Drosophila melanogaster: one gene and its partner. The gene in region 2 interacts genetically with the main gene of each other region. Each region holds a gene or a part of one and is shown on either strand. Other genes may lie near its edges. The genes, in order: S6k and Trpm.

Region 1 (5,077 bases), on a different chromosome or scaffold from region 2:
CAAATCAATCATATCATATGCTATCACTGCCATCGTTTGCAGTGTGTAAACAAGTCTGAGCTGATAATTGGCAATTTGGCTGTTCATTTAACTGCTGCTCAGCTGGCTGGAGAGGAAGTCCGATCGTATCTGGGTCCCTATCTACCCCGCATTCTCAGAAAGTCACGTCACAGTCACGTCCTCCGATGTGGCGGCATAGCACTGGCATTACTCACTCTTGGTGCAGATTAATACACAATTCCGGTTCTAGGTCAACCTGCAAATGCGAAAGAGAGACGGAGAGGCGTGTGAGTGAGATGGCGTCTACTTGCGAGCATAACTGCCAGCGGTATACATGCGAAAAAATCAACAATTAATCATAGTTATTGCGAACTTGGGAGCAAACAGCAGAAGGGAAAGTTACACAGCACCGGGCATCGACGAAGACAAGAGGCCCTAAATCTTACAGATACTTCAAAATCAGCCTATACCAGCAGTAATATATATGTGGGTTGCTTAAAGCTAGTAGCCCACAATTTTAATATGCTTTTTTAGTAATAAAAATAGCTCAAGAATCAGTTCTAAAATGGGAAATCGTATATCGTTATATTTTATTTTTCTTGTTGCATGCTTAATCCCCATTCGGTGCTGCCCCACTTTTCAGTTTCGTTTTAAGCAGCGGGAGATTCCGATGAATGGAGAGATCGCATCGGAGTAGTAGTAGGGGCTCGCTCTGGGATCTCGGATGGCATCCGTCTTTGGAGTATGTGAAGCCAGTGAGTTTCTCCACCACCCTTCGATTTGTCCACTACTCCACACGGAGCTTATTCGGTATTTACACAGAGAGAAAGAGCGTGGCATCCACACAGATGTACATTCGTACACTTTCCGCACACGCACACACACCTTTCGCTTAATGACAAACTAAATTTAGAACTCGGAACAATGCCAAATAATCTGCCGGCGATGCTGGCGCTGTTCCTCGTCCCCTCCGGGTCCATTTGCCGCCCCCTCGGACGCGGCTGCTCCAATCGGAGGAAGGCCACAGTTAGGGGCGGCAGATTCAGAAGAATCAGCAGCAGCCGCAGCCGCCGTCGTCGTTCTCGTCATGCCTAAAATTTGTATAGAACATTTTTGACTAAAGTTCAATTGAATGGCGGCATCGGAATAGGAATCCGCATCTCGACATCTCGTCGCGCAGCACATTAAAAACTGGTTCACCTCGTCAGCGTTGGCGGTGAATTTCAATTAACAAATCCATCATAATTTATAGCGTTCATACAAAGTCAGTGGATGGGCGGAGGGAGGGGGTGTGCGCGCTTGCGTAAATCAAGTAAATCGACAGGTCTTGGAAAAGGTGTGCGATATGGTAGTGATAGGTTCTTATCAACACCGAAAAGGTTTCTCCAGCTATGTAATTCCCCCGGGCAGACAAAACCAATAATACACAAAGAAAAATGATAATTACCCAAGAGCTATTCTCTCCCTTTTTAGTAGATTATTTTCGTACTTTTAAGCCATTACTTTACACAATTTGTCTAAAAATAAATCAATTGACATCATAAGATGACGGCATATGTACACACATTGTTGCTAAATTACATATATTTCAGGCCAATTTAGAACTTTTAATATTCGAATTAAGAGTTTTAGCAACTTGCTTTAGCCAAAATGCATTTATTGCGACTAGTATTGAATACGGGAAGTAATTTAAGCGTTTAAATACAAACTTATCAATTTAAGAACCGCTCATTAGCACAATTAGTAATCAGTAATTCGGTACTTAATGACTACATACTATGGAAACTAATATTCTTTTCCAGTGTACTGTGGTGCAGTTACAACTGGTTCCGTATAGCACCACCACCCCAAACACGACGGTTTGGCTCGACGATCGCTCGATTTCGATCTCAATCGCCTGCCTGCCTGCCTGCCCTTTTTCCTTCCATTTTGTTGTGCTCCCTTATCGGCGCGTGGAGGTTTTTCTCATTTTCTAATTTTATATGGCACGCTGATAAGGAATTTCGTTTTCTAAGTGGAAGCTAAGACACTTGCGAGAGTGCGAGCGAGTCGGCGTTCATTTTGGGCCTCCCTCTCCTTCGCACACCACCTTTGCAGTTGTTGCATTATCAGCTGAGACAGGGGCGGTGGCAAGCAGGGGGCTGCCATGGAGTGTGGCGGGCAATTGGGGCTGATTAGTTTGAAGGACACCACCACTGGCTTCGATTGGCCCATATCAATCGAAGGTGGTTTCGTAAGGAGGTTTTCTCTGATCGAGTCGAACTTATGGTACAATGAGTGAGCGCATGTACATGCGCTGAATAATCGGCGACTGGACTGAAACCGAATGACGCCAGACATTTGCGCAGCAGATAAGCCCAGTTTGCAGGGTGTGCGGCTGGTGGATATGCTGGTTCGGGGGTGTGGAATCGGGATGCCCAGACGAGCGAAAGGAAAACTGGCAGACAAAGCGCAGAAAAGGTAAACAAAGAGGGAAATTGTTGCTGCGCAGTTTGCATCGGGGGATGGTGCGGCACGCATTGGCACGGGATGGCATGGAATGGGGGCTATATCTTACATCGTCCAGCTCGATCCTGTCGTCGTCGGAGTCCCTGGCCTTGTCGTCCTGCAGTTCCAGGTCGTGCAGCTCCAGGTCGAACAGTTCGCTGGGATCGCTCACGTCCGCCATTGCGTGCGTGTGTGTGTTTGGGCGAGTGCGATTCTGTTTGGATATGGATATGGGAAGTGGATCGCCGCTGGTCCGCTCCTGAACTGGGCGCTCCTCTCGCGGGGGGGCGGAAGCGCGTTGGCGATTTATTTTAGTCTCTGGCTATGAGTCTCCTTGTTCAGCTGGTTGGTTCAGATGGAACAGTACAGAACAGAACAGCAGCGGTGCCGATTTCGTGGCTTTCGTCGTGGCCCGAAGGTTATTGTTTATTAGTTAATGGCAATACAAATACACACACACATGGGGGCACACGCACCAACACTGCGACGCACGCACAACGCACCCACACTCACGCACACAGACACTGTGCTCAATGCCTTGCCCACGCGCGCCCTTTGAGTCCGCTGATGTGCAAGAAAACGTTGTTGTTCGCGAACGCCTAATCGCAATGCAGTAATCAGTAATTAAAATGCACTTTTTTCTTTGTTTGCGAGTGAAACACGAGGTGATTTGCTGAGTGTGGCCAGTCGTGCGCTAACTGCCAATTGCTAGAAATTACCGAGGCGCAACGAACGGCAATGCCGCGACAAAGTGTGGCCGTAGCAAGCCAAGCACGCGCTAGGAGGACAAAGTGCTACGTACAATTCTTTTAATTTATTTATTTTATGTAGCCAGTGATAGCAACCAAATAGCCGAGTCATGCGCACCGGCTCGCCCAGCAGCAGCGGCTCCCAGTCGGAGGAGGGCAGCAGTTCCTCAGATCACCAGCAGCCGCAGCAGGAAGCCCAGGAGCAGGAGCAACAGCTGCACACTCCCACGCATGCACATGCCGCGGTGCCAGCTGCCACATCGGAGGAGATCCTGGCGGAGTACGGCAGCAACCTGAAGCTACTCGAGTGCAATTCCCAGGTGGCCGAACTGCTGACCATATTGCGCGACAAGTAGGTGACGTTGGGGAGGAGGAGTCAGCAGCGTAGTAGCAGTACAACAAAATTCTACCCCCCAGGAACACCACGCGCAGTGACTTCAAGTTCTATGCCGACCGTCTCATCCGGCTGGTCATCGAGGAGTCGCTCAACCAACTGCCCTACACCCATTGCGATGTGGAGACGCCCACCGGTGCGATTTACGAGGGACTGAAGTATCGCTCCGGCAACTGCGGCGTGTCCATCATCCGATCGGGAGAGGCCATGGAGCAGGGACTGCGTGACTGCTGTCGCTCCATTCGCATTGGAAAGATCCTGGTCGAGTCCGATGCCAATACGCATGAGGCCCGCGTGGTTTATGCCCGCTTTCCCGATGACATCGGCAGCAGGCAGGTGCTACTCATGTACCCCATCATGTCCACGGGCAACACTGTGCTGCAGGCGGTGAATGTGCTGCGGGAACACGGCGTACCCGAGAGCTGCATCATCCTGTCCAATCTCTTCTGCACACCCATTGCCGCTCGGACCGTAGTGAATGCCTTCCCCAAGCTGAAGATCCTCACCTCCGAGCTGCATCCCGTGGCACCTAATCACTTTGGCCAGAAATACTTCGGTACAGACTAGATACTTGGGTCTATCTCGCAGACTTGACGACTAAGCGCTGCTTAGGATAGGTAGCTGTCGCCCAGACAAACGCCCTTTCCTGCGTTGCGCTCCACTAACAAATGCTACCCTCTCTCACTCTGTTTCGTCCTCCAGATTGCATTTGAGACACACAGACAAATAGACGACCCCTGCGGCCAACCAAACTACTACTTAGCAACTGTTAGCTTTTCACAACTGGCTTTTAATGCAACTCTCAAATACGTTACGTTCGTTACGCACTATTGTAAATATAGAAACGAAATAAATATTTAAACATTAGGATGAGGCGGTACTGCCTTTTAAGTGCTCATCTTGTAGTTGACCACGGTGTCCACCTTGTGCAGTCCTGTAGAAAAGGAGCGCAGCTGGACGGCCTGCGGATTCTGTATGACAATGGCACCCGTTTCGTCCCATTTGGCCGGTAATTCGGTGTTCTGCAGCGTGTGAATCATTATGTCGAAGGTGCAGATGCAATCGAGCAGTGGCAAATAGCTCACGGTGGCCGAGATCTGCCGCATAACGTCGCGAATCTCGTTCTGTATGCGACTCAGCTCCTTGGTGGTTGTTGCCTTGGTGGGATCACTGATATCGCCATCGCCCAACTCGGCCTGCATATTAAAGTCCCAGCACTCGAGCACCTCCTTGGTGTGGGCGTTCGTAATGACCATCGAGATCTTGTTGATCATGTTCTTCGAGAGCCATTCTATAGGTGAATACAAATAATGGTCACCATAAACTTGAATTTTTTCCAAAAGACCACTAACCTTCAGTTTGGCTGAGCACGTTCTGCAGAAAGGTCTTGATCTTGGGATCCTTGGACATTAGAATGGTTAGCCCATACTGCTGCGTGTTGTTAAAG
Region 2 (5,039 bases):
CTTAAGAAACTTCACATAGAGCGGTATTAATAGATTTTTGACCGACAGTGTTGACTAAATAATTTCAACAGTGTCATTCATTTTTTATCTCCTAAAATCACCATCTCTATATTCGATTAGTTTGGCTATCGACTTATCTCCAAACGATATTTTTGAGCACTACGCAGCTCTGACGCACATCTGCGAAATGTTTATTTACAAAACGAGTTAGCATCATTATTGTCAAAAATGAATTCTCAAAACGAATTGCATCCAAATTGGCTGGCTCTAACAACATTGCCACTCCAACTGAAGCGATTCGTCCGAGCAGGAGATCCGGATTTTATCGCCGAGTCCCCGAAAGCAGTAAAGCACCAAATCGATGGCTTAAACGGAGCAGAAGCTCGTGAGTTCTACAAGGAGGTGTTGGATGCGCCCACAACCTGCCAACCTAACCTTCCAAGTACCCACAAAACTGCACAAACAAGAAGAGAGCCAGAAAGGATCCTAGTCCCCTTCGACAAAAGCAAATTTTTCCGTTTGGCCACTAGCAACAAAGTAGAGGAGCTGTCTCAAATGAAGGCCTCAGAAGAGGATTTAAATTCTCGGGATTCCTTTGGCTGGACTGCCTTGATGATGGCTGCCTGTGAAGGAGCCACGGAGGCAGTGAGTTGGCTCGTGCAGAGAGGGGTCCAAGTAGAGACCTCAGACAAATCCGGAAACACAGCTCTGAAACTGGCCCAACGAAAAGGTCACTTAGATGTAGTTCATCTTTTGGAATCCCTACCCATTTTAGAGGAAACTAGCGAAGAGGATGAGTCAGTTGATGGCAACAACCCCTTTTACTGTGAAATCTGTAAGAGGGACTACAAAGAAACCCCCTGGCCAATTCATCAAACATCCACAGTGCATCAGTTCAATCTAAAGGCTCTGCCCGCTCATAAGCTCCACAAATTTAACATATCTGCCAAAAATCGAGGACTCCAGCTGATGGTGAAACAGGGCTGGGACCAGGAGCACGGATTGGGACCGAGTCAAAGTGGGCGATTGTATCCCGTCAAGACTGTTCTTCGAAAGCAACGCACTGGACTGGGAATTGAACAGCAGTCGGCAAGGGTCTCCCACTTTGGTGCCTTCGATTTAAACGCTGTTAGGAGAAGGGATCCCATATATCAGCCGAGAAGGACGCGAAGCGATATGCAGAGGGAAAAGGTGCGCGAATGGAAGCGAGAACGGTACCTCCGCAGGGTACTAAGTTAAAGATGGCTTACAGAGAAAGCTAACAAGAATTGTACTATAAATTATAAATGGAGCCAGCCTAAGATGTTTTTTAAGAGCAAAATAATAAATTTAATTATTAATAATGGTGATTTATGAATAGTAGATTTATAAATTTCTCATTAGAAGGAATACAATATTAGTTATTCCTTCTTAAGAGGTACCCAATAAAACAACTGATGTTCAGCCGTACCCAAATTATATTATAAATTATATATGAAATTATTGAGTACAACAACATGGACTAGCACACTTACTTAAAAATTTAAACAATTTTTTGAAACTCTATTTAAAGTTGAAATTTTGTTTCGAAAGTTGGACGAGGGAATCACTTGCTAAATACACAAATTGTTAGGTTTATACGCACAAATTAAGCAACATATTAGTAAAAACACATAGTACACACCTGAAGAATGACTATTAATTTTAAATGTGATGGATTTAGGCCTTGTGATTGAAAATATATTTATTTTTGTAAGCACTAAAAACAGAAACAACCGATGGAAAGTGCTTTATGTTTGCAACAGCTGTTAATTTTTAACATTGGACTGTTAATTTACATTTGCGAAACTTCCAATTGGAACATTGGAATATTTCTGAGAGAGAAAATAGTGAAAACGGTATATAAGGAACTTCTCCGAATTCCTGCGCTCAGTCGTATTCGGACTGTTGTACCGTGAGGTCGTTCCCGTCTTTTTATACCGCGGAGTGCAATAAAACTAAGTAAGCAGTGCGTGTTTTAAAGTTCTACTCGCATGCTCGGCAATTAAAAGTGAAAAAGTGGGAGTGCGCCCACAAGGTCACCAACAGCAGTCGTTTCCCTTAGGTAAACAGCTAAAAAAGTGAAGCATTAAAGTGTCTGGAAAACCGTTGCTCGACGGCAAAGTAATTTCTAGATTCAAATGATTGAATTCCGAATTTTGATGCGGTGGCAACCCTGGCGGCCGATCAACAAGAACAGCTGATTGGTCTGAGTGTGTATGTGTTTGTGTGTGACAGCGTTTTTGCGGCGGAGCGTCGCTCCAATTTGTTGTTGGTTCTCCAACATGTGCGGTTCGCTTGGCGCATTTAAATATTTTTTAAAATAATTAACAATTGTGTCGACGTTTTGCTGCTTAACCGTTATCGTGTGTGTACCAGTGTTTTTTTGTGATTCGTGTGAGCCGTATCCCGTTCCCCGGTAAACCCCAAAAAACGCGCAGTTTCAAATTACGCAGAGCTGGCAAGAAGTGCAATTATTTTTGAATAATTAAACTAAATAGGGTGGCCATGTGATTGCATCGTGTGTGATAACAAAACGCTTACAAAGTCATCGCCGTAACACATTTACTCCCACGGACTCTGCAGGAATAGAAAAACTATATTGTTTAATATGCGCTCTGATGTTCAGTGGGCTTTATGGTTTATTTTCGTAGCATTTATTTTGGTGATTTGTTTAGTTTTGCATTGAACAATGTACATATAATTCGGTTCTCTCCGCTCCGCTCTCTCTTTCTCTTTATGTGGTGCCCTCTCGCTCATTGATCGACATTGCCAGCATCCCCTCGATTTTTCCAACCCCCACCTCTCTCCCCTTCGATCAGGGCCCCCTCATGAACTTGCTTTGTTGTTGGGGTCTACCAGGGGCGGATCTAAATCGTGAATCTTGGGGAGAGTAGTACCCTTAAAAAAAAATCAATCCATTGAGGCATTAACTTTTGTACTGCTTAAGAGATATAGCAAGCTATTATCCATAAACTGTAAAATAATTCAAGTTTTGGGATAAAGATTATCCCTTTGGTGCAACAGAAACTATTTCTTTTGGATTTCAGATCTTATACATGATTTACTATAAACAGTTTTTGTGACAGTGAAAATGTAAGGCTTGGAAGGAACCGATTTCAATGACACCATTGACTTCTTTGATTTCATACATGATCTACATGGGGGGTAGTATATTTAAAAAAAAGTTCCCCTCTAATATTGTCCCGCCTCTGGACCGGACCTTACACGGCATTTCTTTCCCATTAACCCCATTCGATTCTATTATTTAGACAACACAATGCTATAACCAGTCAAGTGAGGCGAGGGTGGGGCGAAAGAAACCAGAAAAAACGGAATAGAATATTTTTATTATCTCAACGATTCCCTGGAATGCTGCGAATGTATTATATGCTTGCAAAATTTACACTATTCAAAAGTAAAATGGGCTGAGAGTCATCAAATATATTCAATAGTTGCCATTATGTTTTTCGTAGAACTGAAATATTGTTTACATAATAAATATGCAAATGTTTTAGTTATTAAAAAGCTGAGACTTTAATATTTTTTTGACAAAACTACACTGTTTTTCTTAGTTTTATCACAATAATCCAGCCAGTATAATAACAATTGGAGGTTCTGTGTAGAAGTTCAACTGAATGAGCAGCACAAGGCCAAGCGAATCCCATTTACTTCAGTGCTTGGGTGGAAAAAAATCTCGTAAATCTTTAAAATCGTAAACCAAACAAATGCACAAGAGCCGAAATGAAAATGCTAAATGTTTATTATTGTAAAATAAACCAAGAGAGGCGGCCCGAAGAGCACAGAAATGAGATAAATGAAATGCCAAAACTTCCGGGTCATTGCCTGAGCGCAATGGCAATGCCAATGGCATAAGTAGTCCATTTTTCCATTCTGGGGAAGAGTAGCTCGGCTTTTTGAGGGCCCTTTAATTTCCATTTGGCTTTTTGCCCCCTAACTAGAGCCAAATATCTGGTAGTAGTTAAAGTGAATTGCAATCAAACGAACTAAACAAACACTCGGATATTATATTATGTGAAAATTCCTAATTGCCAAACACCTGAAATTCATCGCGTATACCCTTCGATTGTTTACGCAATACCCAGCCAACAAAATTTTGCGGAGACCGACATAATAACCATTAAAGCAATTACAACAATTATAAACAACAATATCGAAATGAGCAATACAAAACGCATGAACTTGAAAAACAAATTTAAGCATGCTTGATCCAATATTCAGGAGCCCCCAGAGCAACAGCACCAACAACAGCAGCATCCGCATTTTCCCTCATTCAGCATCAAGTATACGGAGAGACAAGTATTTCTGCTCCAGCGTTTTCCATCTGGCCGCGTTTTCCGACTCTACTAAGTGTTTTCCCAGGTAAGACCGTCGAGATAAATGCAAATTACTTTGCAGGACTTTAGTGAGCGTTTGTGCAAAAGCATATCCTATTCACACCGAATCAATTTAAAGAAAAAAGTTTAAATATGGAGTGAAAATTATGGGACATTAGATAGTAAATAAATTAATGATTTTCATTCCATTTTAATACTTAATATCGGTTTAAATCTAATAATATAAAGATTAGTCATGGAAATTATTTGTAATTATTTAATTGTCTTACTGCGTTGCATGTACCTTTGAAGGTTAAAATATCTAAGCGCTTTAAATTCCTAAATAGGCGCACAATTTTTCTATCTTTAAGATTTCCAAGTGGAATGCAAATATTGTTGAGATGTACGAGTGTGTGTAATTGGCAGGACGATGGTTGGCATAAATCTCTCACCTGCAGGAATTTTCTAATATCGCGAAGGTGTTGCATACCAAACGGTGCTTGAAATGAGCAATTTGCGAAAACTTTCGGCATAAATTGTTGCCCAAAATCTCCATCCCCTCAAGCGACGCCTCTGGCTGTGAGTGTGTCAGTGGCAGGACGAAAGGCAAAAAATTAACAAAAATTAGGCCTGAAGTTTGTTGGCAAGCTCGCAAATGTGTTGTGGCTTAAAGGGATAAAGAGC

What was found.
Region 1: of Trpm (region 2) and S6k, changing one suppresses a phenotype caused by changing the other (phenotypic suppression), as found in Drosophila melanogaster (one study listed by BioGRID).

What each region holds. Positions count from the first base shown.
Region 1 is NT_037436.4:5,807,733-5,812,809, forward strand, and holds the start of S6k (ribosomal protein S6 kinase), read right to left. Parts: upstream 3,200-5,077; 5' UTR 2,669-3,199; coding exon 2,558-2,668; intron 257-2,557; coding exon 216-256; intron 1-215. Other genes in the region: kri (krishah), read left to right, coding at 3,347-3,588, 3,654-4,186, 4,333-4,343; mad2, read right to left, coding at 4,518-4,921, 4,983-5,077.
Region 2 is NT_033778.4:15,306,240-15,311,278, reverse strand, and holds the start of Trpm (transient receptor potential cation channel, subfamily M), read left to right. Parts: upstream 1-1,910; 5' UTR 1,911-2,083; intron 2,084-2,281; exon of another isoform or gene 2,282-2,437; intron 2,438-3,980; 5' UTR 3,981-4,401; intron 4,402-5,039. Other genes in the region: CG8152 (uncharacterized protein), read left to right, coding at 229-1,239. UniProt on the Drosophila melanogaster protein: Calcium channel mediating constitutive calcium ion entry.